Linked DNA regions of Struthio camelus. The protein of the gene in region 1 purifies or fractionates together with the protein of each later gene. This does not show direct contact. Links are inferred from orthologs where the notes say so. Each region holds a gene or a part of one and is shown in the gene's direction. Other genes may lie near its edges.

Region 1 (7,100 bases):
TGCAAGGAAATGAGATCTTACATTGAGAGCTGGGGATTAGAAGACAGGACGTGGAGTTCAAGTTCTAGCCTGATGACCTAGTGAAAACGTGACTCGGTTTCTCTGTTAGTGGAATGGGAACAACAATGAACTAAGGAACTGATTAGTGGATCTTAAAAATACAAAGAAGGTTGCTATAAGCTCTAATTAAATGACTGTTGTAGTGTGTGCACAAAGCAGACTACACCAGTCTGTCTTTGTAAACTGTAGCAGGCATTTGGGACTCAGCTTGTGAATTCTCATGCGTGCAATCTTTTTGCATTTCCTTATATGTGTAAAAGCAGTGTAGCATGCAGTTAAAGGAAGATGCTCCCTGGCTTCAGTAAAAAGAAAAGAATGGATACAGTGAGCCATGGGAACACTGTGTTATATATGGTTAGGTGGAGAATCGCTTAGGCAGCTTTTAACGTAACGAGGAAACCTCTGCCTCTTCAAAACCTGATTGGATTTGGTAATGTGGATAAGGATGAGTCTCAATACTTCCGCTTTGGAAGTGGCTCTTTGGGGATAACTGGCTTAGTGAGTGCTGTCAACCTTCCTGAAGAGGAAAATGTTACACACCACAAGCCAGGCAACTGCAGAGGCAAAAATATCTACAATTGTATTTGAGGGGGATTTGATTTTTTTTTAAAATGAAAAAAAAAAAAACTTGCAGCATTTTGAATTTTCAGCAAATGTAATAATGGTGAAAGGGCCATCCAGCCGATCTGGAGATCTCCATTTACCTGTAGCAGCAGCGGTCTAAATGGAAACGTAGGAATCCTACTACGAACCTTAATCCAGCCTGCGGCCCTGTCAGAAGAACGGCAGTGTGTGTGTGTGTAAATATATATATATATATATATATATATATATATATATATATATATATATATAAATCACTGTTTTTAGCCATAACAGTTACCCAAACAACAGGCTTTGGCGTTCAACTCAAAAAAACATTTTTTTCTACCCAGCTTGTGGCAAAGGGGCTGCTTTGTATAGCTGTTCTTTGACTAGGAAATAAACGCTGGGGGGACACCACTGTCTCGTTCCACTTACCTAAACTTACTGCTCTGGGCTTACCACCGGTCTGGAGCGGGAAGTCTCATATTCTGTTAATCAACTGTGAGTCAGTGTTGTCTAGTGCAGGAATCAAAGGAAGGATGGTCAGCCTGGTGATAGATAGCACTAGATAGCACTGCTTCTCTTTGAGTCCTGCCCAGCATTGCTGCTGAATCGCTACGGTGTTAGCTAGTCTTGGGGGCTGGAGGTGGGGGGTGAGGGTGCTAGTTCAGTCTTGAGGATACTGTGGAGCTACCTTAGCAAAACCTTTTCCTAGCCTTTAATAAAAGTAGCTTCATAAATGGAGAGCATAGACACGCACAAGTCATTGTTAGTCTCCCTAGTATCTTTAATTTGCTGTTTTATTATGAAAACCAGGCAGGATAATTTGATACTTTTGTTTGGGTGCATGGCACCTGTGGGTGTAGAGCTCTCTGTTCGTTCCAGCCTAAAGAAATCATTGCTCCATAAAGTTCTATAATTTCTGTCTTTTGTCAAACGCACGGTGAGCTGGCCTGTCTTTCTGCTGTGAAATATGAAGGACTTTCTGCATCTCAATAGACCTACCAGGGGGGCGGAAGCAGCAGTGGATTCCTTTCTCCTTTCCCTCACTGAATCCAATAGGCCTTTTTCTGTGTTTCAGACCGTTCCTCCAGATATTGTCTGTCAACCTTTCACCGTGACCTTGAAAATTAAGCCTTGCTAACCAGTAGAAACTGGTTACTGTACCACTCTGTAACTAGCCAGGTAACTGCCAGTTTTCAACACTTCAAAAGGAATTTCTTTCCTTTTTTAACTTTTTTCCACTGTTTACAATAACAGTCATGGCCTTGAGGTCGGAGATTTCTCAGGAGTTAATGACCACCTTGGCTTAGGTTACCCCCTCAGCTGCTCCAGATCACTGTTTGGCACCTGATCTTACCTGACTCCTGTGCACAGCTCTTATTTGAAGCTGAGAGGTGCTCTGCATGGGTCAGCTGATGGGAAATGGCCTTTGTGCCTGTCATTTGTTATGATTTAAATATTCTGCTTTGTTTTTTCCATTCAGGTGGGAATGTCCAAGTGTGCTGGGATGTGATGTTCACAGGTCACCTTCAAGGGGCTTAGCACTGAAGCATGGCAGGGCACGTTAGCGTTTCATTTTGTTCTCCTTCTATAAAGCATGCAGAGTGTCATCCTTTGCTCATTTGTCTGTGCATTCCTATTCCAGACCCGTCTGACACACACACGCAGAGCAGAAGGAAATCCAAAAAGGGCGATGAATTTTGCAAACAAATGAAGAAGGTAAACGGGATGCCAGTATTGACATCATCACGTTACTGGTGCCATTTAAAGCAGGTTTCAGTCTGCACCAGCTGGAGGATGGATGTAACCAGACGGCGGCACGCCGTGCACCAGGCAAGAGGGGAAATGGACAGCTTTGGAGCTAAATGAATAACTCTGCACAAGATCTGCTTCAGCTTGCTCCCACAGTAAGTGACGTGAGTTTAATTGGCTGTAACAGGACCTTGCTAGTACCGTTCTGGTTGTGTTATTTAATGCCTTCATGTGGGAGTCCAAAACTTATGGCAGAGAGGGGCTCTGAGTGTACGGTTGGGAGAGAGCAGTTCCCAGACTTGGCTCAAACAGTTATACTGTGACCCATGGGAATTTTTTTTACTCAATTCCCCCCAACATGTGAAAAAGATGGCAGCACTAACATAACTCACAAGCAGGTTCTGAGGATGACTTACAAATTAACTTCAAGTGTTGTGAAGATCAGCTGGAACGTTTAGACGTACTTTGTTTTTCTCTGCCCTAATTCAGCTTTTTCTGAGTTCACTGCCCAGCCTGAAGAAGTTGCAGGTTTAAGGGCTGTACTGGCTTTTGGGGGTAGGTGCCCTACAGAATGCAAAACCAAAGCTGAGCGCGGTTTCACTTGGACTCATTAAGTGATACTTCCAGCTATGCCTTGATGAAGTCAATGCTTAGCGATGCACCCTTGAAAAAATAATTTCTGTTAGAAATAATTTTATAATGAACATGAAAACGCTGTGCTTTGGCTTTTGGCTTAAAAAAATGAGTAGAAGAGTACACTTCTCCATTTGAGAAGCCTAGCAAGTAAGAATAGCAATGAATTGTGAGCACGTGTGTTTAAGGCACCTTTCCTCCGCAGGCTTCTAAACATCTCAGAAAGGTGGATATGGTTTTTTTTAATCCATGTTTTGTTGGGAACGGGAAAAAGAGAGGGGGGGTGCGCTGCAAACAGTGATGAGCCGTGACTCACTGTGCATCACAAACTTAGAATCCGGATTTCCCGGGGTGGTTTCCTGCTTTAGGCAGCAGCCTGAATCGTCTGTCACAGAGTTTATCCTCACAACCCTCTTCTTCGGGGATGTTTTGTAGTACTGTGTGTACAGCAGAGCAGCAGACAACTCCTCCAGCTCTGGAGGAAAAAAATCTTTCCCAGGCACAAAAGAGAGTTGGGCACCCAGTGACTGACCCAGAGCTGGCTGCTCAGCTGCTTCTTGGTGCTGCTGAGGATTTCCTCAGCAGAGAGGAGCACCGAGTGACTGCCCCGCTCACCTTATGCGGAGCGAGCAGCAGCTTACCAGCAGTTTTAAGATCCGTTTGGCTAACGGGCGCATCCAAATTTTGTCAGGGCGCAAAGCGCACAGAGCCTGCAGCCGTTCACGAGAGCTAACGGGGAAGGTTTTTTCCCCTGACCGGCCTCGCCGCTCCCAAAGGTGGGCTCGGCCCTGGGGTGAATTCGCCACCGGCCGGCACGCACACCCGCTCGCTCGCTCGCTGCCGGAGGGGAGCAGCTCGCTTTGCCCGTGGCCACCTCGGCCTCCTCGCTCCCGAGGGGGGCCCTTTCCCCTGGCCGAGCCCGGCCGGGGGGCAGCGGAGGGGCCGCGCCGAGCCGAGCCGCGCTGCGGGCGGAGCCGCGCCGCCCCCCGCGGCCGCCCCGCTCCGCTCCGCCCCGGCCCGCTCCGCCCCGCCGCTGCCGGCCCGGCCCGGGCAGCCCGGGGAGCCGGTGCCCAGCGCGGGGCGCCGCGCTGCGCTGCGCCGAGCCCAGCCCGACCCGGCCCGGCGCCGCGGGGCAGCCCGCCGCCAGCATGCCGCTCGCCCAGCTGGCCGAGCCCTGGCCCAACATGGAGCTGGTGCATCTGGACACGGAGGTGAGCGGGGCACCGGCCCTCGCCGCGGGCGGCGCAGCCGAGCGGAGCGGGGGGGGACGACCCGGGCCGCCCCGCCGGGCTCCGCGGTGAACAAAGGAGCGCCCGGGCCGGTGCTGCCGGGGCCCCCCCCGGCCCCGCTCGGGAGCCGCGGGCGACCCCCCCCCCCTCCCCAACGCCCCATATCCCGGGGGGCGGGAAGCGGTGCGGGCCGGGCTCGGGCAGGCACGGTGATGGGCTGCGGAACGGGGGGGGGGGGCGGCGCGGCGCTCGGCAGCCCGCCGCTGCCCGTTCAGACGTGCTCCCAGACGTAGAGGGGCACGGGCCCTGCCCGGGGCCCGAGGAATAGATGCTTCATGTGCCGAGTCTTCCTCTTCAGGGCTCCCTCGCTGCTGTTCTTCCTAGACCAGCTGTCCTGAGAGGCCTGCCTGTGTTTCAAACTCCCAGGCACCCTGTCATGCTCCCCTGTTACTTTGGTGGATGCTTTGCTTTTTCCTTTCTAATTACGGCCTCGAACCCAGATGCACAGGACACATCAGCTGTCTGCCTCTGCAGGGTTGTGCCACGACCGTTTCGGAATAAAGGCACAGCTTTTAGGAGTTTTCACCCATTGCAAAGCAGCCAGCTGAGGCAGTGTGCTCCGGCAACCTTTAGTTAAGCATCTTCTAATCCAAATTAGAACTAGCCTCTTTCCTGAACAAATGATATGGCCGTTGTGGGTTTTGTCCCAACCCCTGTATTTGGACCCTCGCAGTCTCCCATCCTCTTGGCTGTATTCAGTGCTCTCGGTTTTGCTCCTTTACCTCATCTCATGCCTAGAGATGTTGTGATGGTTGAGTGGTTAGATTTGCTCATTCCTATTTAAAACTGCCTCTTAAAACATCTTTGCCTTCAGCGGAGGCAACGTTTCACTCCTGCTGCAATGATAACAGATAGAGGTCTGCTAACAAAAATGGGTGAGGTTGCCTAATTTTCATCAACCAGATGTGGCAAGACTTCTCCTAGAGACTTCCCCATGCCAGAGGCGCTGCATGTGCTGGGGGTTCACATCATCTGGCCTGAAGGTGCGGACGCACCCGGCAGCGGGCTCGGCGCGTCTGCTCGGAAGCAGTGCTGGAGTCATGAGGATGTGTTTGTGCTCGAAAGTGGGAGAGGAGGGAGGTTGCTCAGCCTGCAACGACTGGATCGTGATTCCTGGAAACCATGTCGTGCCTTCGGAGCTTGTCTAGGGTACCGGAGTAGGTTAGAGCTAGAACACAGGGCTCTTTAAGTTGGTGGTTTCTCTCTTCCTAAATAGGAAGATATCTTGAAAAGCTAAATAACAAAACTAAACTCATAACGGGAGAAAACTAATGCTAGTGCCCAGGGCAATAAATGCCATTGGCAAGATCGGTTTACTGCTTAATCCTACGTCTTTCAGGTGCCAGTCAGCTGGCTGTGTCAAAATCACGAGATCTCTTCTGACCGGAAACAGCTCGGGGGGAGCTCCCGTATATTTGTCAGCTGGAGTCAGCTGTGAAGATCATAGTTAGCAAGAACTATTTTCCCCACTGGAGTAGTAACCGATGTGTTAATTGTAAACTGAAACTTCGGGGCCTGACTCTCACTTCTCGGCTATCCCCTTCCCCCATCTCACCTTGCCTAGAGCTCTAGGTCAGCTCCACGGTCGGGAGCGGTTTGCATGTGATATTTCTGAAAATCACTTTCCTGAAACCTCAGGAGGGCTGCATCTCCACCTGGAGTGGGACGTTAGCAATTTATCCTCCCCTGGTTTGAGGAGAGCAAACACATGCTCTTGCTTCCAGTGAGAGAAACAGGATGGATGTTCTTCACCTCTAAACCTGGCTGCCGTCGCCTGTGCCAGACGTTAGCATGTTCCTTTAGCTGTAGCAGCGTATCTGCAGGCTGCAGAGAGGGACGTAGGCTCGGTGGGATTTCTGCACCTTGCGAGGTAAAAATGGCTGAGGGTAGAGGCCTGGGGAGAAGATTTTAACCTCTTCTGGGCAAGGTGGAGACTCTTCTGGAATGTCAGTTACGTAAATTGCCCTTGGATCTCTGCCATCATGGTTTTCAACCGGCTTCCTTGTACCTTTGCTTTCTGAGTCACAGAGCAGAGGTGCTGTCACTGTGCTGGTGAAGGCACCGGGCCTGTTGTCTGCAGGTTTGGGGTTTTTCCACTGCACTTCAGGAGCGCTAGCAATCTGTTCCTGGGGTCTGGTCCCAGCTGGCGCCTGTTGTCCCGGCCTGCCGGCGCTCAGCGTGGAGCTGCTCCGTGGAAAATGCGTGGGGGTGGGTGGCAGCGGGAGCTAGGACTAATCTGTTGCAGGAGAAAAGTGGATCCACCTCTGTCCTGGGGACTGAGCTGGTTTCATATTTTTTTCCCCTTATTCTCTCTCCTGCTTATATCATTCAGAATATTGCTTATGTAGTTGAAAAATCTGGCTGGGGCAGAGTACAAGCGATAGAGTGGAGTTGAATGACTTCATCACCATAGCGATGGAAACTGTCATCTAGGCTGTGCTTTTCTTTAAGCTCTTGTCTTGTAACACATACAGCAACATAACTGACGTGGGATTACCACAAACCTAATCACTTCGAGCTAATTATTTTTGCCGGTATATATGTATTCTCTTTTATTGAGCAGCAGCCATTCACGAGTAACTATCTTTTCCAAGCATCTTAGCTGAACGATGCATAAAACAATGATCAGAAGATACAGCAGGAAGCTATGTGAGTTTAGTCTCTGATATGCCTTGTGCGCAGCGCAGCTGACTCCTCAGTCCGTTTGGGCTATGGCAGTTCTGCTGGCAATCTTTATTTTTGCAGAATTATTTCCTTTCTCTAAATTGCACTAGGCAA
Region 2 (6,820 bases), on another chromosome or scaffold:
CCTGGCGGCATCGAGGCTGCCCTGGCGGCTCCGCTTGCGGCGGTGCTCCTCCGCGATGCGGTCGGCCCAGGCATCGTAGGGCTCCGGCTCCGGCGCGGCGAAGTCCTCTGCGCGGGGGGAGAGGGGAGGGCTGAGGCAGGCAGCCCCACGGCGCGGGGCTCTGTGGGGCAGGGAGCACCCCCCGGCAGCCCCGCTGCAGGCAAGGGGAGCTCCTTGGGGCGGCGAGAACGGAGATGGCGGCTTCCCGGCTGAGGGAGCGCGCGGGGTTGCCACGGGGCTGCCGAGGGGCAGGGCGTGGGGCTGCGTGCGGGCCCGCCGTGGGGCAGCCGTACCTCGGTAGCACTGGGGCTCGCCGCACTCGTCCTCCCACTCCTGCAGCAGCCGCTGGCGCCAGCCGCCGTCCGGGCTGGGGGGCTCCGGGGCGGCCTGGGGGCGGCCGGAGCAGCCGTGGGGCAGCCGTGGGGCAGCCGTGGGGCTCCCCCACCCCCCGACCCCCCGCCTTGTCCTGCCCCCCGGCACCTCCGGCTCCGGGCAGCGGCACCGCGGGGGCGCGGGGGGCTCCTGGTCGCCTGGGGACAAAGGGGAAAGGTCACCCGGACGCCTGGGTCCCCAGGGCCCGGGGGGAGGGGCCCCGGATGCCTGGGCCCTCCGGGGGGGAGGGGAGGGGCTCACCGCGGTGCCGCCGCCGGTGGGAGCCCATGGCGGCCCCGGGCGGAAGCGGCCCCGCAGGGGGCGGAAGTGGCGACAGGGGAGGGCGGAAGCGGCGGCGCTGGCGGGGGGGGGGGGCGGCGTGGAGGGACCCGCGCGGGGGTGACAGGGGCCAACGGGGCCCAAAGGGGGCAACGAGGGGACCAATGAGGGCACCAGTGGGGATCACCGGGGTGAACGAGGCTGCACGGCACGAATAGGGATCAATGGGGGAAGGGGAATCAGTGGGGATCAATGGGGCGAAGGGGGATCAATGAGGTGAAGGGGAATCAGTGGGGATCAATGGGGCAAATGGGGATCAATGGGGGAAGGGGAATCAGTGGGAATCAATGGGGCGAATGGGGATCAATGAGCTGAAGGGGAATCAACGGGGATCAACGACGTGAATGGGGATCGGTGGGGATTGATGCTGTGAATGGGAATCAGTAGAAACCAACGGAGCAAACAGCAATCAACGACATGAACGGGGATCGACGGGGACCGACAGCATGAATGGGGGTCGATAGGGACCGACAGCGTGAATGGGGATCGATGGGGACCAAAGCGCTGAATAGGGGCAGAAGCAGATCGAGGGTGCGAACGGGGACGAAAGACTCGCGCGGGATCAATGGGGACCAAAGCGGTCAGCAGGGATCAGTGACGCGAATGGGGGTCAAGGGCAGGAACGGGGTCCGTGGGGTTACGCCGCGCCCCGGCAGGTCGGACTCACCGGCGGCACCGCAGCGAGCGGCTCCAGAGTCCTGGGCAGCGCCAACCGCGTCGCCCAGCACGCGAAAGCTGGGTTTCCGCCCCGATTTTGCCGCCAGCGCGAGGGGGGCTGGGGCGAGCCCCGGCGGCCGGGGCCGCCGGCGCTCAGCGGCCCATGTAGGCGCGGAGGTCGCGCTCCCAGGCCCGGGCGGCGGCCTCCCGGCGCTGGGCCTGGCGCTTCCCCGCCGCCCCGGCCCGCTCGGCCCTCGGCTTCGGCGGCTCGGCCACGGCGGCGGCGTCGCGGGCCTCGAAGTGGGTGACGCGGGGCCGGAGGTCGCTGGGGCAGCCCAGGCCTCTGTGGTCGCGCTTGAGCAGGGTCTGGACGGGGAAGCGGCGCCCGTCGCCGGCGGGGCCCAGCCCGGCGCGGCCGTCCCAGCCGCCCTTGACGAGGAGCCGGAAGCCGACGTTGGTCTCGGGGATGTGGTAGCGGGCGGGCGGCGGGGGGTCGCCCCGGCTGAGGAGGTGGGCGGTGGAGCGCTCGTGCTGCGCCGCGCTCTCCTCGGCGTAGTGCGTCCCGCAGACGCCGCAGAAGCGCCGCTCCGCCGGGGCCGGCCTGCGGCGGGGAGAGGAGGCGTCAGGCAGGGCCGCGGGCGCCCGCTGCGCCCCGCCGCCGCCCGGGCACCGACTCACCGCGGCGCCTCCTCGGGCTCCGGCCGCCACTCGCGCAGCAGCCGCGCCAGCCCGCGGTGGCCAGCGTCCTCGGCCAGCCCGGCGGCGTCGCGGCCCCCGGCCTCGCGGAAACCCGTTCGGGCGGCCCCGCGGCGCAGCAGGTAGCGCACGGCGGCCGCTCGCCCCGCGCGGGCCGCGCACATCAGCGCCGTCCAGGCGAAGCCGTCCCGGTAGTTGACGTCGCAGCCCTCCTTCTCCAGCAGCCGCCGCAGGGTGCCCAGGTCGCCGTCCTGAGCCGCCTTCAGCAGCGCGTTGCCCCGGCGAGTGTCGGTGGGGCCCGACGGGGCCGCGGGGGGCTTGCGGCGGGCCCGGGGCGGCTCGGAGGGGGCCGGGGGCGGCTCGGCGGGCGGCACAGGCGGCTCGGAGGGGGTCGCAGGCGGCGCGGCGGGGGGCACAGGCGGCGCGGCGGGGCCGGCCCCGTCCTCCCCGGCCAGGAGGCTCTCGTAGAAGCGCCGGGCCTCGTCGCCGGCCTGGCTGCCGGGCTCGGCGGGGGCGGCCGGGCGCCGCTGGAGGTGTCCGTCCTTCCAGCAGTCGGTCTCGTCCCGGGCCCGGGTGAAGGCGATGAGCTGGGCCATGGCGGCGCCCGGCGGCGGCTCAGGGCTGAGGTGGGGGGAGAGGCCGGGTCAGGGCGGCAGTGGGGGAAGGGGGGGATGTGGGGCAGGGCCCTGGCAGGGGAACAGCCCTAGAGAAGGAGGGTTGGGGCTGGGGGGGGGGGGCAGGTGCCCAAGGAAGGTTCAGGCCTAGGGATGTGGGGCAGATCCTGGGGAGGGGGGAAGAGCCCTGGAGGGGGTCGGTGGGGCAGGTCCAGACTTGGGGGGGGGGTCGGTGGGGCAGGTCCAGACCCGGGGGGGGGGGTCGGTGGGGCAGGTCCAGACTTGGGAGGGGGGTCGGTGGGGCAGGTCCAGACCCCGGGGGGGGGTCGGTGGGGCAGGTCCAGACTTGGGGGGGGGTCGGTGGGGCAGGTCCAGACCCGGGGGGGGGTCGGTGGGGCAGGTCCAGACCCGGGGGGGGGTCGGTGGGGCAGGTCCAGACTTGGGGGGGGGTCGGTGGGGCAGGTCCAGACCCCGGGGGGGGTCGGTGGGGCAGGTCCAGACCCGGGGGGGGGTCGGTGGGGCAGGTCCAGACTTGGGGGGGGGTCGGTGGGGCAGGTCCAGACCCCGGGGGGGGTCGGTGGGGCAGGCCCAGACCCGGGGGGGGGGTCGGTGGGGCAGGTCCAGACTTGGGAGGGGGGTCGGTGGGGCAGGTCCAGACCCCGGGGGGGGGTCGGTGGGGCAGGTCCAGACTTGGGGGGGGGTCGGTGGGGCAGGTCCAGACCCCGGGGGGGGTCGGTGGGGCAGGCCCAGACCCGGGGGGGGGGTCGGTGGGGCAGGCCCAGACCCGGGGGGAGGGGGTCGGTGGGGCAGGCCCAGACCCGGGGGGAGGGGGTCGGTGGGGCAGGCCCCGGCCCTGGGGGGGTGATCCCGAGGCGGCAGCGGTGGGGCAGGTCCCCGCGGGCAGGCCGCACCCCTCCAGCCCCCCAACTCACCATAGAGACGGCGGAGCAGAGCGCCAGGGCGCCGCGCTCCGGCGCGCAGGCGCAGCCGCGGGGGAGGGGGGGCGCGCAGGCGCACCGCTACGGCGGGCGAGGCGGAGGGAGCGCGCGCATGCGCGTCGGCCACTGGCGGACCGCCACCCCCCCGCGCATGCGCGCGCCGCCCGGCGGCCGTTGTCGCGTCCCCCAGAAGCCCCCGCGCGGCGCCGCCGGGGCCGCGCTGGGCTGCAACGACGGCAGCGCGGGGCGGTGAGTGCGAGGCCCCGCCCCCCGCCCCGTGGCCATGGTAACGAGGGACCCCCCCCCTCGGGGGGGTTAAGGCCGCTCCCCCGCAGAAACACCCCTTTCCCCGGTAGTGGGATAAGCCACGCCCACTCTAGCGCAGGCCCCGCCTCCTCTCGCGGAGCCGGGGGGGGTATAACGGCCCCCTCGCGGTTGTAGTTCTCAGCCCCCCCCGCGCCATTCACCCCTATGGAGGAGGCGGTGCCGCGGGACTACAACTCCCGCCGTACCTCGCGCCGCCCCACGTGACCGGCCCCGGCCGCGGGTCGCGCAGCCGCACTCCCTCCGCCGCGTCACGTGGTGGGGGCGCCCTCCCACCCCACTCCCTTCCGCGCGGGGGCCGCCGGGAGCTGTAGGCGGGAGGCGGCTCGCGATTGGCCGGCGGAGGGGGGGGAGGCGGCTCCCGCGGCGGCGCGGACTCCAGTTCCCGGCGGCCCCCGCGGCGGCGCATGCGCGGGACGGCGCGGCGCAGGGCGGCCTTGCTGCGGGGAGGGTTGGCGCTGCGCGGCCCCTTGTTCGCCCCCTGAGAGCCGCGGTGAGGGGCCCGGACGCCTGGGCCCCCGGGGGGGCGGGGCCGAGGGGGGCCCGGACGTCTGGGTCCTGGGGGGCTGGGGTGAAGGGGAGCCCCTAAGTGAGGGAGGGCCGGGCCCCGGACACCTGGGCCCTTGAATGGGGGGGGGTGAAGGGGCCCCCGGACACCTGGGCCCTTGAGTGGGGGGGGGTGAAGGGGTCTCGGACGCCTGGGCCCTTGAGTGGGGGGGTGGTGAAGGGCCCCGGGACGCCTGGGCCCTTGAGTGGGGGGGGTGGTGAAGGGGTCTCGGACGCCTGGGCCCTTGAGTGGGGGGGGTGAAGGGCCCCGGGACGCCTGGGCCCTTGAGTGGGGGTGGTGAAGAGGTCTCGGATGCCTGGGCCCTTGAGTGGGGGGGGGGTGAAGGGGTCTCGGACGCCTGGGCCCTTGAGTGGGGGCGGTGAAGGGGTCTCGGACGCCTGGGCCCCTGGCGGGGGTCATCCCGGCCTCACCGCCCGCCTCCCCCAGACTCCGGGACCATGAGCAGCTCCGAGGAGGTTTCCTGGATCTCCTGGTTCTGCGGCCTCCGAGGCAACGAGTTCTTCTGCGAGGTGAGCGGGGGCCGCCCGGACGCCTGGGTCCCCTTGGGGGGGGGCCGGGGGGTGCCCGGACGCCTGGGTCCTCACGCCGCCTCTCCTGCCCCAGGTGGACGAGGACTACATCCAGGACAAGTTCAACCTGACGGGGCTCAATGAGCAGGTGCCGCACTATCGCCAGGCGCTCGACATGATCCTCGACCTGGAGCCAGGTGCTGGGGGGCTGCGGGGGGGCCCCGTGGGGCCCCTGGGGGGGCTGCGAGGGTCCCTACGGGGCTTGAGAGGGCCCGGAGCGGGGGTTGAGGGTCCTTGGTGGGTCCTAGGGGAGCTGCAGGGAGCTGGGGGGGTCCTTGGAGAGGTCATAGGGGGCTTGGGGGATCTCGGGGGGAGCTGGGGGGGGACCAGGGAGATGTGGGGGGGCACAGGGAGGTCCCGAGGGGGTCGGGGTTCTAGGGGAGTTAGGGGGGCTCCTGGGGCATTGGGGGGCCCTGGGGGGGCCGTGGAGGTCAAGAAGGGATCGCGAGGGGGTTCGGCGGTCCTGGGTTGGGCTCGGAGCCTTTGAGGGGTCTCGGGGGGGGTCGGCGCCCCCCGAGGGGGGCTGGCGGGGGGGGGGGGGGGGCCGGACGCCTGGGTCCCCGCTGACCCGCCCGCGCAGACGAGGAGCTGGAGGACAACCCCAACCAGAGCGACCTCATCGAGCAGGCGGCCGAGATGCTCTACGGCCTCATCCACGCGCGCTACATCCTCACCAACCGCGGCATCGCCCAGATGGTGGGTGCTGCGCCGCCCCGGGGCCGGGCGCCCCCCCCGCGCCCCCCTCACCGCCCCTCTCGCTCCCCCCCCCAGCTCGAGAAGTACCAGCAGGGCGACTTCGGCTACTGCCCCCGCGTCTACTGCGAGAACCAGCCCATGCTGCCCATCGGTAGGGGCGGGGCCCGGACGCCTGGGCCCTGGAGCGGGGGCCCGGACGCCTGGCTCGGCGGGTGCCGGGGAAGGGAGGGTGGGAGGCGCGGAGGGGCCCGGACGCCTGGGCCCCGCTGAGCCGGCCGCGCGCAGGTCTCTCGGACATCCCCGGGGAGGCGATGGTGAAGCTCTACTGCCCCAAGTGCATGGACGTCTACACGCCCAAGTCCTCCCGGCACCACCACACCGACGGCGCCTACTTCGGCACCGGCTTCCCCCACATGCTCTTCATGGTGCACCCCGAGTACCGGCCCAAGCGGCCCGCCAACCAGTTCGTGCCCAGGTGAGCCCCGGCCCCTTTTTCTCCGCAGCGTTCACTCTGGGGCCTACTGACAGCCCAGCGCTGTCCCGATGCTTTTTTTTCTTCTTCCAGGCTGTACGGTTTCAAGATCCACCCCATGGCGTACCAGCTGCAGCTCCAGGCCGCCAGCAACTTCAAGAGCCCCGTGAAAACCATCCGCTGAGCCCGCCGCCCCGGACACCTGGGTCCCTCCTCTCCCCCCGCAGCAAGGGGCCGCTGCTGCCTTGTTTTTCCTTTCTTTTTCCGTCGCGTTTTTTGGGTCTGGTCCCTCGGGGCAGGGCTGAGGCCCCTTCCCAGTCCTACGTACTGTTTAAATTAATCTGTTTTTGGTTGATTTTTCTCAGAGTTCAATTACAAAAAGAAAGAAGTTCAGAAAACCGGGCCACGAGCGAGGTGGTTTTTTGTTCCGCCTTCGCGAAAACCCGCCCAGTTGCTTGTTGTCGTGAGAGCGACCCCGAGGCGGCGGCGGGAGGGAGGGAGGGGTGGCTGCAGGCCCCGGCGCGCCCGGCCTGGAT
Region 3 (7,187 bases), on another chromosome or scaffold:
CCTAGCAGATACCAGGAAGGCTGGGGGAAAAGAAAGAGAGAAGAGCACCCCAAGCCTCACATAGCTGTATGTGATGCTGAGGGAGCCCGTGTAACTGGATGCAGGAAGCTGTAGGATCAGGACAGGCAGACCCAGAGGTGTATGCTGAAAGTAGGCAGGCAGGAGCTGTGAGTCTGGGAGCCTTGCAGAGAATGGGTCAGGAACTGCCCTGATCTCTACCTCACATCCAAAGGTGATGCTAAGATTTGTTACATGAGGAAAAGCCTGAGCAACTTTGCCCTCTGTGTGGTTCCCTTCGGCCTCAGAGTAGTCAGCAGGTACAGCCCTTCTGCAGCCCTTGCTGACGTGCCATGGGACAGGGAACTCAGCTACTCAGTGACGTGTGTTTTTCTCCCAGCCTGGGAAGGACAGCTGTCTCCTGCCAGCGATGGTGGCCCTACGTGTCATCTTTATACCGCTTTTCATGCTGTGCAACGTGCAGCCCCGCAACTACCTGCCTGTCGTCTTCTCTCATGATGCCTGGTACATCGTCTTCATGATCTTCTTCTCCATCTCCAACGGCTACTTGGCCAGCCTTTGCATGTGCTTCGGGCCCAAGTGAGTAACAGCTGGGGACAGGGGAACAGCTGGTTACACCTGTGGATGTCAGCCCAGGCCTGGCTCCTTGAGTCCAGGCTCTGCCTAGCTCTGGCACCTGGATTCCTCCAGCGCAGAGGGAGATAGCCACACCACCTCCCCTCTGGGAAGACAACCCCAGTGTCCTCTCTCCCAGCCTTGTGTTACATCCTAGAGCTGAGGATGCTATTGTGTGGGCTCCTCATTTTCCCCATGTGCCACCCTGGGGAAGAGGCTGAACACAACAGGACTTTGGAGGCAGCAAAAGGCAGAGCAGCATACACAATGTGGTGAGCAGCCTTGTCCAGCACAGGAACACAGGCAGCAAGAGGAGGCCTGCTGAGGCTCAGCTGAGCAGGCTGCAGTGCATCAGGGCAGGAGCCAGGGAGGGGTGTTCTTGGCGTCAGGAGCTTCAGGGCAGCCTGCCTGATGTGTGTTTTTTTTTTTTTTTTTAATGAGCCCGTAATTTAGAGGGAAGCTCTTGGAGCCGAGCAGGCTTTGCTCTTGCCACCCCCCTGCTGCGAGGGACGCAGCTTTTGCCTACTGTGAGGTCTCGTCCCGTCGCTGCAACTGAGGACACAGCGGGGCACAGAGCATGCTTTCCCCAGGATGGGTCTGACACTTGTTTCTCCCACAGGAAAGTGCTTGCCCATGAAGCAGAAACAGCTGGATCAGTCATGGCCTTTTTCCTCTCGCTGGGCTTGGCCCTAGGAGCTGCTGTCTCCTTCCTATTCCGAATTCTCATCTAGCAGAGGTACCTGGAGGCTGCACAGACACGGAGAGACAGCTCTGCATCCTCCTCTGAGGCCCTGGACACCTCAACGCCATGGGGAGAAAACACCACATCTGCCCCTGCCGAATTACACTGCCAAAGCAGATATTACAGCCAGGGACAGTTCCACTCCAGGGCTGGCCTGGCTCCTGCCATGCTCAGCTGTGTGATGCCTTCAGGCCCTCGTGCCTTTGCCATGCTGCAAGACCCCTGGGATCTCACAGAGGTCCAGCCATCCCCTCGTGCTGCGTAACTTCCCCAGCTCAAGACCTAAAGCCATTCTCAGCTACCTCCTCTCTGACAGGCAGAAGTGAGGGCTGGTGTCCAGTGTTGTTTCCTCTCCCGCCCGCGTTCCCAAGGCACCTGGGGACTGGATCTCCTTTTGTCTCCCAGGGGGCCTGGAAACATCTCACATCTCAACTTCTCCCCTACTGGGGAGACTTGAAAATAGGAAGGAGAGCCCCAGCCAGCCTTGCTCTCCTCATCCCCACTGTCTGCTACAAGCACATCCTCCTGCACAGTAGTATCCGAGAGACATGGATATCCATGTCCTACACGAAGAGCTGCCATCCAACACCATGGCTAGACTGAGGGAGGAAGAGGTCTCCACACCCTGCCTTTTCCCGCTCTCTTTGCCTTCGTTCCCTGCCTGCTTATTTCCCAGCCCCCTCAAAAACTGGTTAATGATTCTGCCACTGTTTCCTGTCTCCTATTCATGTGACAGGAGATGGCACCATGAAGTGCGAGAGGAAAGCAGGCGGCTCCCTTCCCACCCAGGCTGCCCTGCTTCCCCCCCTGCTGCAGGGGGAGCCTGACCTCCCCCATTGTCTCTTCCCTGCCTTGTAAATGTATCTGTACAGTTGCCTTTTTCTATAAAAAGACCAAAATGCCCTGTTGGGTATGTGTGTCTGTCTCCATCACCACAGGGAGGAGGGCCACTGGGGCTGAGCAGGGCCAGAGCTGAAAGGGTGTCCCTGGGGTCCCCTGTGGCCAGCACCAGGCGGCTGAGCGGTGTGCCCGCCCCCAGGACCTCACTGCTACGAGATGAGGAGGGGGTGCTGGCCTTGGGGCAGACCCCTGGCACCTCTGAGAAGGGGCGGAGGCACCTGCATGTGCTGGGGGCAGCCAGCAGCAGCCCGTGCACCCAGGAGCCTTCCCTGTGCCTGGAACTGCTGGAGTGCCACCTCCTGCTCCTGGGGAGAACTACATCACCTCGCCAGTGGCCACGGCCCCCACGCACGGCCTCCCTGCCCCACGCGCTGCTCACGGCCATCGCCTCCTCAGCTCCACGGGCTCACCTGCTGCAGTGCCTCGGCTCCCCGCAGACCCAAAAGGCCCAGAACTGTAGGGCCCAGGTCCCCTCATCCCGCCTTCTGCTAGCAGCTACCTGGGGCTTCTCTTGCAGCCGTGCCCAGAGGTCAGAGATCGCCCCAGCTCTGCCCCGTGAGGGATTCAGACTTACGCGCCTGCAGCTCCAAGAGAAAGGATAAGGCACAGGATTTATCCTGTGTGCCCTTAGCTGCTGCTAAAAACTGCTTTCCAAACACCTTCCCTGCCAAGCTGACTTCTGATGGAGGAAACGGGTCTGCTCCGCCCTCTGAACCCAGCTCCACCAGCGCCCCTCAGCCCTGACGTGACCCCTGCAGCAGGTCCTCCCGCAAAGCCCTTCCGCTGCTGCCTGTCTCCTCCATCCTGCGTGTTCCCCCTCCGCGCTGCCCCGGTCCGCTCCTGGCTTGCACCCACAGTCTCAGAAAGGTCAGGACAGCAGAGCCACGAGTTCATCAGCCAAAGATGCGCCTGGAGCCAGCTGCTCGGCGCTTGGCTCTCGGCCTCAGGGGAGCTGTTGTCTCCCTGCACCGAGTGAAGAGCCCTGCGCATGACAGCTGCCAGCAACGTAGCATATGGATAAAAAGGTGCCTTGTAAACTACCCAAAGGGCTGACGCTTCCCTGGCTTTCCCTGCTGCTCCCCCACCCACCCCACAGCTACCGACAGGTGCTCAAGCCTGCAGCTGGTGTTTCACACATGGCCAAAGATCCTGACACACGAGGAAGTTAAAACAGGAAGCCCCCATGCTGTTCTGCTCGGCCGTAAACCCCCAGGAAGATGGCGGGGGCAGGGCACACAAGCTCTGCCCTGGGCCTCTGGCACCGTGTCTGCTGCCGCCCCAGCTCATTCCTATACAACCCCCAGCCTAGATCCCCGCTCTGCACCTTGGCACTGCCGAGGAAACACCAACGGGGGGATTAAAAAAGCTCATCTCCCTTCTAGCACTTGAGGGCATCCTGATGACTGTGACAATAACGCGCCATCAGCCGAGCTGAGGAGCTGCTCACAGCTCCAAGCACGGCCAGGGAAGGACCCAGGGCGTCCCCGCACGGGCAGGCCGCGGCCGTGCCCCCCTCGGCCCTTCTCCCCCGGCGCTGGGGCTCAGGGGGAAGCCGAGAGAGCGGCAGGCCGGGCCGGGCCGAGGTCCCCGGGTGGGCACCGACCCGACCCTGCCCAGCCGGAGCGTCCCGTGGAAGCCTCTGGAAGGAGCCGCCTCGCTGCCACCCGCCGTCAGTGCGCCTCCGCCGCCCGCGGGAAATAGTCCCTCCCGCTACCCCGCCGGGGGCGGAGGCCGCGGAGAATGGCGGCGGCGGGGCGGTGAAGGCCGCCGGTCCCTCCCCCGGGACGGCGGCAGGCAGGCAGTCGCCCCCCCGGGGGCGGAGCTGCGGCAGCGGGGCGGGGCGGAGCTGGGGGCGGCGCTCGGGCCGAAGGTGCCCGAGTCATGTCCGCCGCCGCGGTTAAAAGGGCGTTGCAGTGGGGCCCACCCAGCGGCTGGCAGTGGGGGGGAGGGGGAGCACGGGGGTGTCTGTGGTACCCACCCTGCAGGCCCCCAACGGAGGGGCACGGCGCTTCGGAGAAGCGACCTCGCTCTCCCTTCATCGCGGACGGGATGCGGCGTGAGGCAGGAGCCTCCCGGCCGCAGGGACCCGCCGCGCCTCTCCAGGCCCTTTTAAGGCGGAAGGAGCCGGCGGGCGGTGCGGCGCCGTCGCTATAAAAAGGGGTCGGAGGGGGCGGCTGCTCTTTTCTAGGTCCGTCAGCTGCCGCCGCGTGTGGAACGGCCGCCGCCCGCGGTAAGGGCGCCGGGCCCGCCCGCGCTGCCGCCCCGCCGCGGCCCGGGGCGCCCCGTGCCCCCGGTGCCAGCGGCCTGTGCTTGCCTTGCAGATGCCTGAGGAGGTGCAGCATGGGGAGGAGGAGGTGGAGACGTTCGCCTTCCAGGCGGAGATCGCCCAGCTCATGTCGCTCATCATCAACACCTTCTACTCCAACAAGGAGATCTTCCTGCGGGAGCTCATCTCCAACGCCTCCGACGTGAGCCTCGCCTCGGCCCACCCGCCCGTGGGGCCTTCCCCTGCCCTCCCTCCTCTCCTTCCCCGGGCCCTGGGGCGGGCTGGTGTCCCTCCCGGGGTGCCCGGGCCGGGGGCGGCCCGCGGGAGGTGGCCGCGAAGTCCCGAGGCCAAGGCACGCGCTCTGCTCTCCCCCTCCTAGGCGCTGGATAAGATCCGTTACGAGAGCCTGACTGATCCCTCCAAGTTGGACAGCGGCAAGGACCTCAAGATCGACATTGTGCCCAACCCGCGAGACCGCACGCTCACCCTGGTGGACACTGGTATTGGGATGACAAAAGCTGATCTCATCAACAACTTGGGCACTATCGCTAAATCTGGTACCAAGGCCTTCATGGAAGCCCTGCAGGTGGGTTGCCTTTGGCTGTGTTGGCTTCTTGCAGCCTGGGCCCTAGACTTTCACTGGGGTGTACCCCCTCCTTACAATAGAAGCATGCCCGACAGTCAGCACCCAGCCCTGCCTCTGTCTTGCTGTGGGAGCTGTTGGCTTGCCTACGTATGTTTCCCCACCTCTCCTGTAGCAGGGAGGAGCTCAGGGTAGGGCTGCCTGCCTGTGGGCACTTCCCACTTTATCTCTGCCTGCTGACCTAGTTCTCTGCTGCTGCGAATCACTTGCAGGCATGTTTTGCGTCCTTCTCTCTTTATTTGTCGTTTTCTGCTTCCGCAGGCAGGTGCAGATATCTCCATGATTGGGCAGTTTGGTGTGGGTTTCTACTCAGCCTACCTGGTGGCTGAGAAGGTTGTGGTTATTACTAAGCATAATGATGATGAGCAGTATGCTTGGGAGTCATCTGCCGGGGGTTCCTTCACTGTTCGGACTGACCATGGTATGTATTGTACAAAGGTAAGTTTATCTCTGTCATCCAGAAAGCCCCCCTTTGTGGTGTTCTCCTGGGCTGGACTTGAGTTAACAAACTCGAGTTTGTTAACGTGAAGTACCTGGTAGTGGCTGGGCCTAAGGAGCTGCCCTATGCCTCTAGCGCTAACGTTTCTCTTTCTACACTGTAGGTGAGCCTATTGGACGGGGCACTAAAGTGATCCTGTATCTGAAAGAGGACCAGACAGAGTACTTAGAGGAGCGGCGTGTCAAAGAGGTGGTGAAGAAACATTCCCAGTTCATTGGCTACCCTATTACACTCTATGTAAGTAAGGGAAGGACTTTGGGGACCAACTGGAAAGCTAGAGCAGAGACGTATGTTGGGAACAGAAAGATGGAGAAAACTAGAGTAGTGTGTCTTCCGTTCCCTTCCAGTTCCTGGCTGCTGTGTTTTGAGCGACGGTGTCCCCAGCCTTATTCGGCCGGAGGTGTTTTGAGGCTGGGGGCCTATTGCAGGTGGGGGGCATCCAGTCATGCTCCTGGCCCTTGATCTCTGTGCGTGTAGAGATCATGTAAACCAGCCTTGCAGACAGGAGAGTTTTCTGCCCCTCACTTCATCTCCTCAGACCCAGCCCTTAGTCCTGTGAGCAATGAGAGGTCTCTTGGAGCTGATTTCAGCTACGCTCAGGAGTGCGTGTGTTCCTCTTCTCTGGGGCAAAAGGACTCCTGATAGTGTTTGCTTGGGGCTAAGCTTGGGCTCATGGCCCTGACTTTCTCTTGTTCCTCTCCTGGCAGCTGGAGAAAGAGCGTGAGAAAGAGATTAGTGATGATGAAGCAGAAGAGGAGAAAAGCGAGAAGGAGGAGGAGGAGTCAGCCTCCAAGGATGAGGAGAAACCCGAGATCGAGGATGTGGGCTCTGATGAGGAGGAAGAGGGAGATAAAGGGAAGAAGAAGAAGACCAAGAAGATTAAGGAGAAATACATTGACCAGGAGGAGCTGAACAAGACCAAGCCCATCTGGACACGCAACCCTGATGACATCACCCAGGAGGAATATGGCGAGTTCTACAAAAGTCTCACCAATGACTGGGAAGACCACCTGGCTGTCAAGGTGGGTGCTGAAAAAGACGAAAGGATTCCTTTCCACTCCATGTTTAAAGCCACCTCGTGTTTGTGCTTCAGTGCAGGACTGAGAGTTCCTAGGCCACTTGGTGGTGCCTCAGCCTGCCCTGTGACTTCTGTGCAGGCAGTAGGATGAGCAGTGCTACCCTCAAAAGAGAATGGGAGGGCGTTGGGCCTTGGAGCAGCATGACTTCGTCATCTAGGGCTGCTGAACGCCAGACAGTCCTGGCAGTCAGGGTAGCAGGAGACAGTGGAGCTGAGGAGGAAGAGAGGGAAATGCAGGTTGTTTGCATGCTGGAGAGCCTGCTGTGTCCCTCTGCATGCCCTGTGGGATGGCAGTTCAGCCTGCCCAGAGCAGGCCGCTGGGTCCTGACAGAAGCTGTAGAAGGGAATCATCACAGCAGCTGTGTTTCTTTCCTGGCCCCACAGCACTTCTCTGTAGAAGGGCAGCTGGAATTCAGGGCCCTGCTC
Region 4 (7,742 bases), on another chromosome or scaffold:
GGCGGCCTCCGAGCGGCTGCGGCGCCCGGGCTCCGGCGGCTCCGGCGGCTCCGGCGGCTCCGGCGGCTCCTGCAAAGGAGGCGGGGGTGGCTCAGCCGGGCGGCAGCCGGCCGGTCCCGGGGCCCCGGGCCTCCGCCACCCAGCCCGGAGCATCCCGGCCCTCGGGGCAGCCCAGGCATGGCTCCAACGAACTGGCTAATTGCACTGGCCAGAGGAATTAGAGGGGGTTAATTAATCCCGGCAGGTGCTGCTGCAGGGAGCGGTGCAGTGAGGAGCCACGCCAGGGCCGGGGCTGGGGCTGGGGCTGGGGCGGGGGGGGGGGGGGAGCCAGCATGGCCACTGCCCCCGGGTGGGGGGCGCCCGGGGCCACGGCACTGAGCCGCTTTCCCAGCCCCGCTGGCCCCCGCGGCGCCCCCTCCCGCTAGCCCGCTGCGTCCACACGCCAAGCACACGCGTGCACGCTCGGATGTGCATGCATGTGTTCGTGCACACGTGTGCACACACAAGCACAGTTGCATGCTCAGCCAGGCATGAGTGCGCCCTCGCTGCACACACACATGCGCTTGCACAAGCACACACGCATGCACGCACACACATGCACGCTCAGCCGTGCATGTCTGCGCACACACATGCATACTTGGCTGTGCATGCATGCGCACACACGTACACACACATACGTGCTCTTGGCTGTGCACGCATGGGCACACACACATACACACCCATGGCTGCCCACACATGGGCACACACGCGCATGCACGCACACGCATACTCAGCCGTGCATGCACACACACACATGTGTGCACACATGCACACCCTCAGCCGTGCGTGCACGCGTACCCAATGCGCTTGCACACTCAGACTTGCCTGCATGCACACACGGGCATGCGCACACACGGGCACGCACACGCACGCACCTGCAGCCATGCATGCACACGCGCACCCTTGGCCGAGCAGGCGCGCGCGCGGGCACGGGGCAGCCACCCGCGTTTCCACGCTCTCCCCGGCCCCAAGCCGGCCGCGAGAAGCTCTGCCCGGCTCCCCCTTCCCGGAGGCGGCGTGTCCGCGGGGCACCGGGCAGTGCCGGGGGTCCACGGCCCCCTGCCCCCCCGGCCCAGGGCCACGCTCACCTGGTCCTCGGGCACGGCCAGGGTGCTCCGGCTCTTCTTCATGCAGCCGCCTGGCGCGGGGGCTCAGCGGCCGTCCTGCCCGCGCTCCGGCCGCGGGGGCCAGGGGGGCCGGCGCGGGGGGCACGGGGGGCGCAGGGGCCTGCAAGAGAGAGCGGTGGGGTGAGGGCTGCGTCCCGCCGCCCCCGCCGCCCCGGGGGGGCCCAGCCGGGCTGCTCGCGCTCCGTCGCCGGGACCCGGGGCTGCAGGAGCAGGGCTGAGCACCGACACGCTCATCGCAGCAGCGGCCAGCACCACGCTGGGGCTCCGGCTCCCCCCAGCACGGAGGGGGCTGCCCCCAGGTCAGCGCACCCGGCTTCCCCCGCCGCCTGCCCCGGCTTCGGGAGGAATTTTCCGCCTATTTAACTGCTTCGCAGTCGCTTGGCGCCGGGGCCGGTGACGCCGCGCCGAGCGGCGAAGCCCAAGCCGCGAGCGGAAACGGCCGGGGGCGGGCGGCCGGGGCGAAGGAACGGCGTCGCACGTCCCTCCCCGGCTGGGATTTCGGGGCGCTCCGGGGGAAAGGGGCGGCTGCGCCGGGACGGGTGATGGGGTGGCAGCGGTCTCGCCGACCCGCCGCCGCCGGCGAAGCCGCAGAAGGGGCCGGCAGGACGCGGCACGGCCGGCCCCGGCAGCGCGGCCGCAGGGCCGGGACGCTCCCGAAACGCGGGACGCCCGGTGCCTCTCCCGGCGGGGCGGGAGCGGGGGGCTCGCTGCCCGCAGCCCCACTGCCCCCGGGGGGCTCCCGGGGCCCCTCAGCACGACCGGCCGCGGGGACCCCCGAGCGCTGTGTCCCAGGGGGCTCCCGCATGGGGCACCTGCTCCCACCGGGGTGCCCTGTCCCACCGGGATGCCCGGTCCCCCTGGGATGCCCGGTCCCTCCGTTACTCCCGGTCCCCCCGAGATGCCTGGTCCCCCTGGGATGCCCGGTCCCTCTGTTACTCCCGGACCCCCCGAGATGTCTGGTCCCCCTGGGATGCCCGGTCCCCCCGGGATGCCCTGTGCCACCAGGATGCCTGGTCCTGCCGTGGCACTGCACCCCCCCCATCCCTTCCGGATACCCGGTCCCCCAAGATGCCCAGTCCCCCTGGGATGCCTGGTCCCTCCATTACTCCCGGTCCCCCCGAGATGCCTGGTCCCCCTGGGATGCCCGGTCCCTCCATTACTCCCGGTCCCCCCGAGATGCCTGGTCCCCCTGGGATGCCCGGTCTCTCCATTACTCCTGGTCCCCCTGGGATGCCTGGTCCTGCTGGGGCGCTGCACCCCCCACATCCCTTCTGGATGCCCAGTCCTGCCCAGATGCCCGGTCCCCCCGGGATGCCCTGTGCCACCAGGATGCCTGGTCCTGCCGCGGCACTGCACCCCCCCCATCCCTTCCGGATACCTGGTCCCCCAAGATGCCCGGTCCCCCAGGATGCCCAGTCTCTCCATTATTCCCGGTCCCCCTGAGATGCCCGGTGCTGCTGGGATGTCTGATCCTGCTGCAGCACTGCATCCCCCCCATTCCTTCCCGATGCCTGGTGCCCCAGCATGCCCAGTCCCCCCATGATTCCCAGTCTCTCCATGATTCCCAGTGCCCCCAGGATGCCTGGTCCCCCGGGATGCCCTGTGCCACCAGGATGCCTGGTCCTGCCGCGGCACTGCATCCTCCCCATCCCTTCCAGATACCCGGTGCTGCTGGGATGCTCGGTCCTCCCATGATTCCCGGTCCCCCCAGGATGCCCGGTGCTGTCGGGATGCCCGGTCTCTCCATTATTTCTGGTCCCTCTGGGATGCCCGATCCCCCCATGATTCCCAGTCCCCCCGGGATGCCTTGTGCCACCAGGATGCCTGGTCCTGCCACGGCACTGCACCCCCCCATCCCTTCCGGATAGCGGGTGCCGCCGGGATGCCCGGTCCCTCCATGATTCCCAATCCCCCCAGGATGCCCGGTGCCCCCATGATGCCTGGTCCCTCCATTATTCCCGGTCCCGCTGGGATGCCCGGTCCCCCCAGGATGCCCAGCGCCGCCGGGATTCCCGGTCCCCCCATTATTCCCGGTCCCCCCGGGATGCCCGGTGCCCCCGAGGCGTTGCCCCCCACTCCCCGCCGGGGATGCCCGGGCCCGAGCGCGGCGGCTGCACAGGGAGGGGAGGGCCCCCCCGGCCCCCCCGGTCCCCCCGGCCCCCCGGTGCCGCCCCCGGTACCTGGCCGCCGCCGGCTCGGCCGCATCCAGCCGCCTTTGTTTGCGGCGCCTCCCGCCCCCCCCCCCGCCGCCGCCGCCGCCGCCGCCGCCCCGGTACCGGCAGGCGCAGCCGCTCGGGCGGAGCGAACCGGGGGGGGGGGCGGGGGGGCCGGCCCCGCGGGTACCGCACCGCGCCGTGGCCCCCCGGCCCCCCCCGCACTCCCGAGCACCTCCGGTACCGGCACCCCCGGCCCCGGCCCCCCCCGGGATCCCCGAGCATCCCCGGTACTGGCCCCCCCAGGACCCCCGGGATCCCCGAGACCCCCGGCCCCGGCCCCCCCCCGGGACCGCCGAGCACCCCCGGTACCGGCCCCCCCGGGACCCCTGAGCACCCCCGGTACCAGCCCCCCCTGGGACCCGCGGCACTGTGATCCCGCCGGGATTCCCAGCACCGCGACCCCTCTGGCACCCCTGGCACCGGCAACCACCCAGGACCCCCGAGCACCTCTGGCACTGGGACCCCCTGGCACTGGGCATGACCCCCCCGGGACCCCCATGCACCCCCCAAACCGAGCACCCCCTGATACCGGGACCCCCGGTACTGAGCACCCTCCCTGGGACTCCTATGCACCCCCGGTACTGGGACCCCCCCTGCTCCCCAGCACCGGGCACCCCCAGCACCCCTAGCACCCCCAGCACAGCGGGGTGGCAGTTCGGGGCGGGCAGATGGGGGGCTGGCAGTGGCGAGACAGTCGGGGTGGCTGCGGTGGCTGGCCAGGATGGTGGGTCGGGGTGGTGGGTCAGCACGGTGGGTGGGGATGGAGTGTTGAGGTGGGGGGTCAGGATGGAGGGTTGGGGTGGAGGGTTGGGATGGAGGATCAGGATGGAGGATCAGGATGGTGGCGCAGGGTGGTGGGTCGGGGTGGTGGGTCGGGATGGTGGGTCAGGTTGGTGGGTCAGGATGGAGGGTTGGGATGGAGAATCGGGGTGGTGGGTTGGGTTGGTGGGTCGGGATGCAGGGTTGGGGTGGCCACAACAGCCATCCCAGATAGCAGGTTGGGGTGGCCAGGATGGGATACTGGGTCGTGACAGGGGGTCGCAATGGGGCAGGACGGGATGACGGGTGGGATGGGTGGCGGGTGGGCCTGGGACAACCACCCAGGGTGATGGACTGGGGCACTCGGGGTGCCGCAGGCAGGTGCTTCTGGCATCACCTCTTTTTTTTTTGGTGGGGGGGGAAGCGCCCCCCGTCCCCACTGGGGCTAGGGGGGGTCGACGCGAGGCCCTGCCCCGACCCCCGCGTCGCCTGCGCGTGTCTCTTTAAGAGGCGCGCCATCTTTGTGCAGGGCGAGGCTGCCGCGCATGCGCGCCGCCGCCGCCTCGCGGCGCTTCCGGCTTCTGCCCTGCGCGGCGGGGCGGGCGCGCAGGCGCAGTGCGCAGGCGCGGGCGGAAGTGCGTGCATGTGCGGGCGGAAGTGGGCGGGCGCGGGCGCTGGAGGTTTCCAGAAGAGGCCGGAGGAGCCGGGCCCGGAGCGCGGCCGCGCCATGGTGGACTACAGCGTCTGGGACCACATCGAGGTGTCGGACGATGAGGACGAGACGCACCCCAACATCGACACCGCCAGCCTCTTCCGGTGGCGGCACCAGGTCGGGCTCCGGCCGGCCGGCGGCAGCGCCCCCCCCCCCCCCCCCGACTCCGGGCTGGGCCGGGGCGCGGCTCCCCCGTGACCCCGTTTCCATGGCGACCGGCTCCCCCGTGACCCCGTTTCCATGGCGACCGCCTCCCCTATGGGGCCTGGGCTGGGGGCTCCCCTGTGACCCCCCCCGTCCCTGTGGTAACAGCTCCCTGAGACCCTTCCCTTCCCCATGGGGCCTGGGCTGGGGGCTCCCCTGTGACCCCCCCTGTCCCCATGGTAGCAGCTCCCTGAGACTCCCCCCTTGTCTGTGGGTCCTGGGCTGGGGGCTCCCCTGTGCCCCCCCCCGTCCCCATGGTAGCAGCTCCCTGAGATTCCCCCCTTGTCTGTGGGTCCTGGGCTGGGGGCCCCCCTGTGACCCCCCTGTCCCCATGGTAGCAGCTCCCTGAGACCCCCCCTTGTCTGTGGGTCCTGGGTTCCCCTGTGGCCCCCCCCTGTCCCCATGGTAATGGTTCCCTGAGACCCTTCCCTTTCCTATGGGGCCTGGGCTGGGGGCTCCCCTGTTACCCCTCCCTGTCACTGGGGTGACCAGTCCCCCTGGCCCCCATCCCCTTGTTGGCCTGGCTGGGGTCTCCTGCTGGCCCCTGTCCCCATGGTGGCTGGGCCATGGGGGAGCCCATGGCCCTCATCTGTTTGGGGTCCAGCTCCCTATGACCCCTATCCTCATGTTGACCTGGCCCCATGGTGTCTGGGCCAGGGGTTCCCCCATGGCTCCTATTGCTGTGGGGACTGGCTCCCTGTGACCCCTGTCCCCATGGCTCCCCCTGTCCCTCAGGGCCCTTCCAGGAGGCTTCCTCAGGGCACACTGTCCAAGGCCCTGGGAGCCAGCAGTCCTTAGGCCCTGCCCTGGGGTCCAGGGCAGCTGCCAGGAAGCCCCAGGCTGGTGCCTGCCCTGTCCCTTCCCTGGGCCTGGGGAGATGCTACCCTCTGACCAAGTCACTGTGCTAGGAGCTTAGCCAGCCCGAGGTAGTCTCTTCTGCCTAATACTGGTGCGGAGGCTTGGAAGCTATCGCGATCTGTCTGTGAGGCTCTGCGGCACCATGCCACTGACGCCCCTAGAGCGGGCCTGGGTATTAGTGGAAGTGACTTGTCTGCTGGGTCAAAGCAGCGCCACGGTGAAGCGCCCTGTGAGTGCCGCGTGTCAGCCTTTTGCCTGTGTTCCTCAAATGACTGATTTATCCCCTTATGCTTGCCCTGTGCTACCCTAGCTTGTCAGGCCAGGTGACGCTCGCCGGGGAGAACCCGGCTTCCCTCTGGAGAAGCCAGGGGTAGCCCACCTCACCTGGGGCCAGTGCCTGCTCTCGGGACTCAGAGCTTCGCGTCCCGTCGCTGTTGCGTAGGTTTCATGGATGTGGTTGGAAGGGCTGCGCCGAGTTCTGGCAACTCCCTGTGCTTCTAGCAAGCTGTTTCTTTCTGCTGCGATTCCCCTGCCCATGAAGGGTAATAAACCTGCAGGAGGAGGCAGTGACTGAGAGAGGCAGATTCATGGGATACTGGCTAAGCGCATGTGTGCGCTGCTTCTGTGGGTTCCCCCTCCCCCAAATGTGAGGAGAGGAAACTACAAGTTTCTTTGCAGGTAAAGAATGAATGCAGTGAGTTCGTGTGCTCCCGGCTGGCTTCCTCCGCTAAAGGCGTCCTCACCTCAAACAAGCAGAGGAATAACAGTGAAAGGCAGTTCTTCCCGCTTCCTGTGAGGGCCCTGGATAGGAAGGCAGGAAGGGTCCCGGCCTTGTGTGGAGGAGGTGCGCAGACCTGCGCTGCCTAGTCTGAGCAGAAGAAATCCTTAGGGACTCACAATCCTTTTCTCCAAGTAATATGATATTTGGGGGTTAGCAGCACAGGCTGTGGGAGGAAGGGAAGGGTGGTTAAAAATTGGACAGTGAAGAAAAATGAAGCTGGCGTGCAAATTAAATTGCCCCCGCTTCCAGTTCAAACAAAATGCTAGTGCTTAGCTTGGAGGGCTTGTTTGAGGCAGGTGAGCGTAGGCTTGATGTTGCATTTGGAATATGTTGTGGTGCAGCGTCTGCTCCAGGTTCGTCCTGTGGAGCTGTGCATGGAGAGAACGCAGCTCTTCTGCCTCTTGATCTTTCTTGAAAGAGATCTTTTTGAGGAAAGATGCGTCTGTTCTCACCTTGTGCTCCTAATGTAGCTGCTTCTGGGGGAGGGTATGTGACTTCTTGTTCTTCGCTGTGTTCCACAAAGAATAACAGCGATCTGGGAAAGCATGTCAGGCTTCCTGGAGCACGCGTCTCCTACACTGCAGCGAGCCGTTACCTAACAGCGTAGGGAGGCTCTGTGCGTGTGTCAGTGTCACGGGAGAAGCGTGGCTAAAGAACCCAAGTCAGCTAATGGGGTGTGGAAGATAGTGAACGCTAAACAGAAATATCCCGCTGTTGTCTTGAAGTGGTTTCAATTCTTGCCTGCTCCAGAGGAGGTAGAAGAGCCCCCCACCCTTCCCCAGGAAGCACTGCACAGTGCAGGCCTGAATAGCCAGAGCCAGCTGCCCACTCTGAGCTCCGGTCGCGAGCTCCTGTTGGCCGTTGTAGGGATGATTCAAAGTCCTGTGGGCTCTGGATGCACTGGAGAGGCTGATGTTGCTGCTTCGTGACTGCAGTCTTCCAGACTATCTATTTGTTTTTCTCTTGAGGGTCTTAAAAGTGTAAATTGTTGCTTGCAGGCTCGAGTGGAGAGGATGGAGCAGTTCCAGAAGGAAAAAGAGGAGCTG

Evidence for each region.
Region 2: the proteins of RPS6KA1 (region 1) and CSNK2B purify together in Homo sapiens (affinity purification with mass spectrometry; 4 studies listed by BioGRID and IntAct, with this or other methods). This does not show direct contact. The link is inferred for Struthio camelus from reciprocal best matches to the Homo sapiens genes RPS6KA1 and CSNK2B.
Region 3: the proteins of RPS6KA1 (region 1) and HSP90AB1 purify together in Homo sapiens (affinity purification with mass spectrometry; 3 studies listed by BioGRID and IntAct, with this or other methods). This does not show direct contact. The link is inferred for Struthio camelus from reciprocal best matches to the Homo sapiens genes RPS6KA1 and HSP90AB1.
Region 4: the proteins of RPS6KA1 (region 1) and CDC37 purify together in Homo sapiens (affinity purification with mass spectrometry; 4 studies listed by BioGRID and IntAct, with this or other methods). This does not show direct contact. The link is inferred for Struthio camelus from reciprocal best matches to the Homo sapiens genes RPS6KA1 and CDC37.

What each region holds. Positions count from the first base shown.
Region 1 is NC_090964.1:7,012,182-7,019,281, reverse strand, and holds the start of RPS6KA1 (ribosomal protein S6 kinase alpha-1), read left to right. Parts: upstream 1-4,087; 5' UTR 4,088-4,181; coding exon 4,182-4,244; intron 4,245-7,100. UniProt on the Homo sapiens protein: Serine/threonine-protein kinase that acts downstream of ERK (MAPK1/ERK2 and MAPK3/ERK1) signaling and mediates mitogenic and stress-induced activation of the transcription factors CREB1, ETV1/ER81 and NR4A1/NUR77, regulates translation through RPS6 and EIF4B phosphorylation, and mediates cellular proliferation, survival, and differentiation by modulating mTOR signaling and repressing pro-apoptotic function of BAD and DAPK1.
Region 2 is NC_090977.1:8,397-15,216, reverse strand, and holds CSNK2B (casein kinase II subunit beta), read left to right. Parts: upstream 1-3,808; 5' UTR 3,809-3,904; intron 3,905-4,380; exon of another isoform or gene 4,381-4,472; intron 4,473-4,532; exon of another isoform or gene 4,533-4,774; intron 4,775-4,855; exon of another isoform or gene 4,856-4,973; 5' UTR 4,974-4,984; coding exon 4,985-5,056; intron 5,057-5,150; coding exon 5,151-5,253; intron 5,254-5,696; coding exon 5,697-5,812; intron 5,813-5,887; coding exon 5,888-5,963; intron 5,964-6,097; coding exon 6,098-6,287; intron 6,288-6,377; coding exon 6,378-6,468; 3' UTR 6,469-6,686; downstream 6,687-6,820. Other genes in the region: NFKBIL1 (NF-kappa-B inhibitor-like protein 1), read right to left, coding at 1-107, 333-569, 673-700; GPANK1 (G patch domain and ankyrin repeat-containing protein 1), read right to left, coding at 1,561-2,008, 2,086-2,699. UniProt on the Homo sapiens protein: Regulatory subunit of casein kinase II/CK2.
Region 3 is NC_090944.1:104,477,878-104,485,064, forward strand, and holds the start of HSP90AB1 (heat shock protein HSP 90-beta), read left to right. Parts: upstream 1-4,177; 5' UTR 4,178-4,505; intron 4,506-4,596; coding exon 4,597-4,743; intron 4,744-4,920; coding exon 4,921-5,127; intron 5,128-5,445; coding exon 5,446-5,605; intron 5,606-5,786; coding exon 5,787-5,920; intron 5,921-6,390; coding exon 6,391-6,705; intron 6,706-7,145; coding exon 7,146-7,187. Other genes in the region: SLC29A1 (equilibrative nucleoside transporter 1), read left to right, coding at 398-597, 1,253-1,364. UniProt on the Homo sapiens protein: Molecular chaperone that promotes the maturation, structural maintenance and proper regulation of specific target proteins involved for instance in cell cycle control and signal transduction. Undergoes a functional cycle linked to its ATPase activity.
Region 4 is NC_090972.1:4,865,973-4,873,714, forward strand, and holds the start of CDC37 (hsp90 co-chaperone Cdc37), read left to right. Parts: upstream 1-4,737; 5' UTR 4,738-4,784; coding exon 4,785-4,970; intron 4,971-7,694; coding exon 7,695-7,742. UniProt on the Homo sapiens protein: Co-chaperone that binds to numerous kinases and promotes their interaction with the Hsp90 complex, resulting in stabilization and promotion of their activity. Inhibits HSP90AA1 ATPase activity.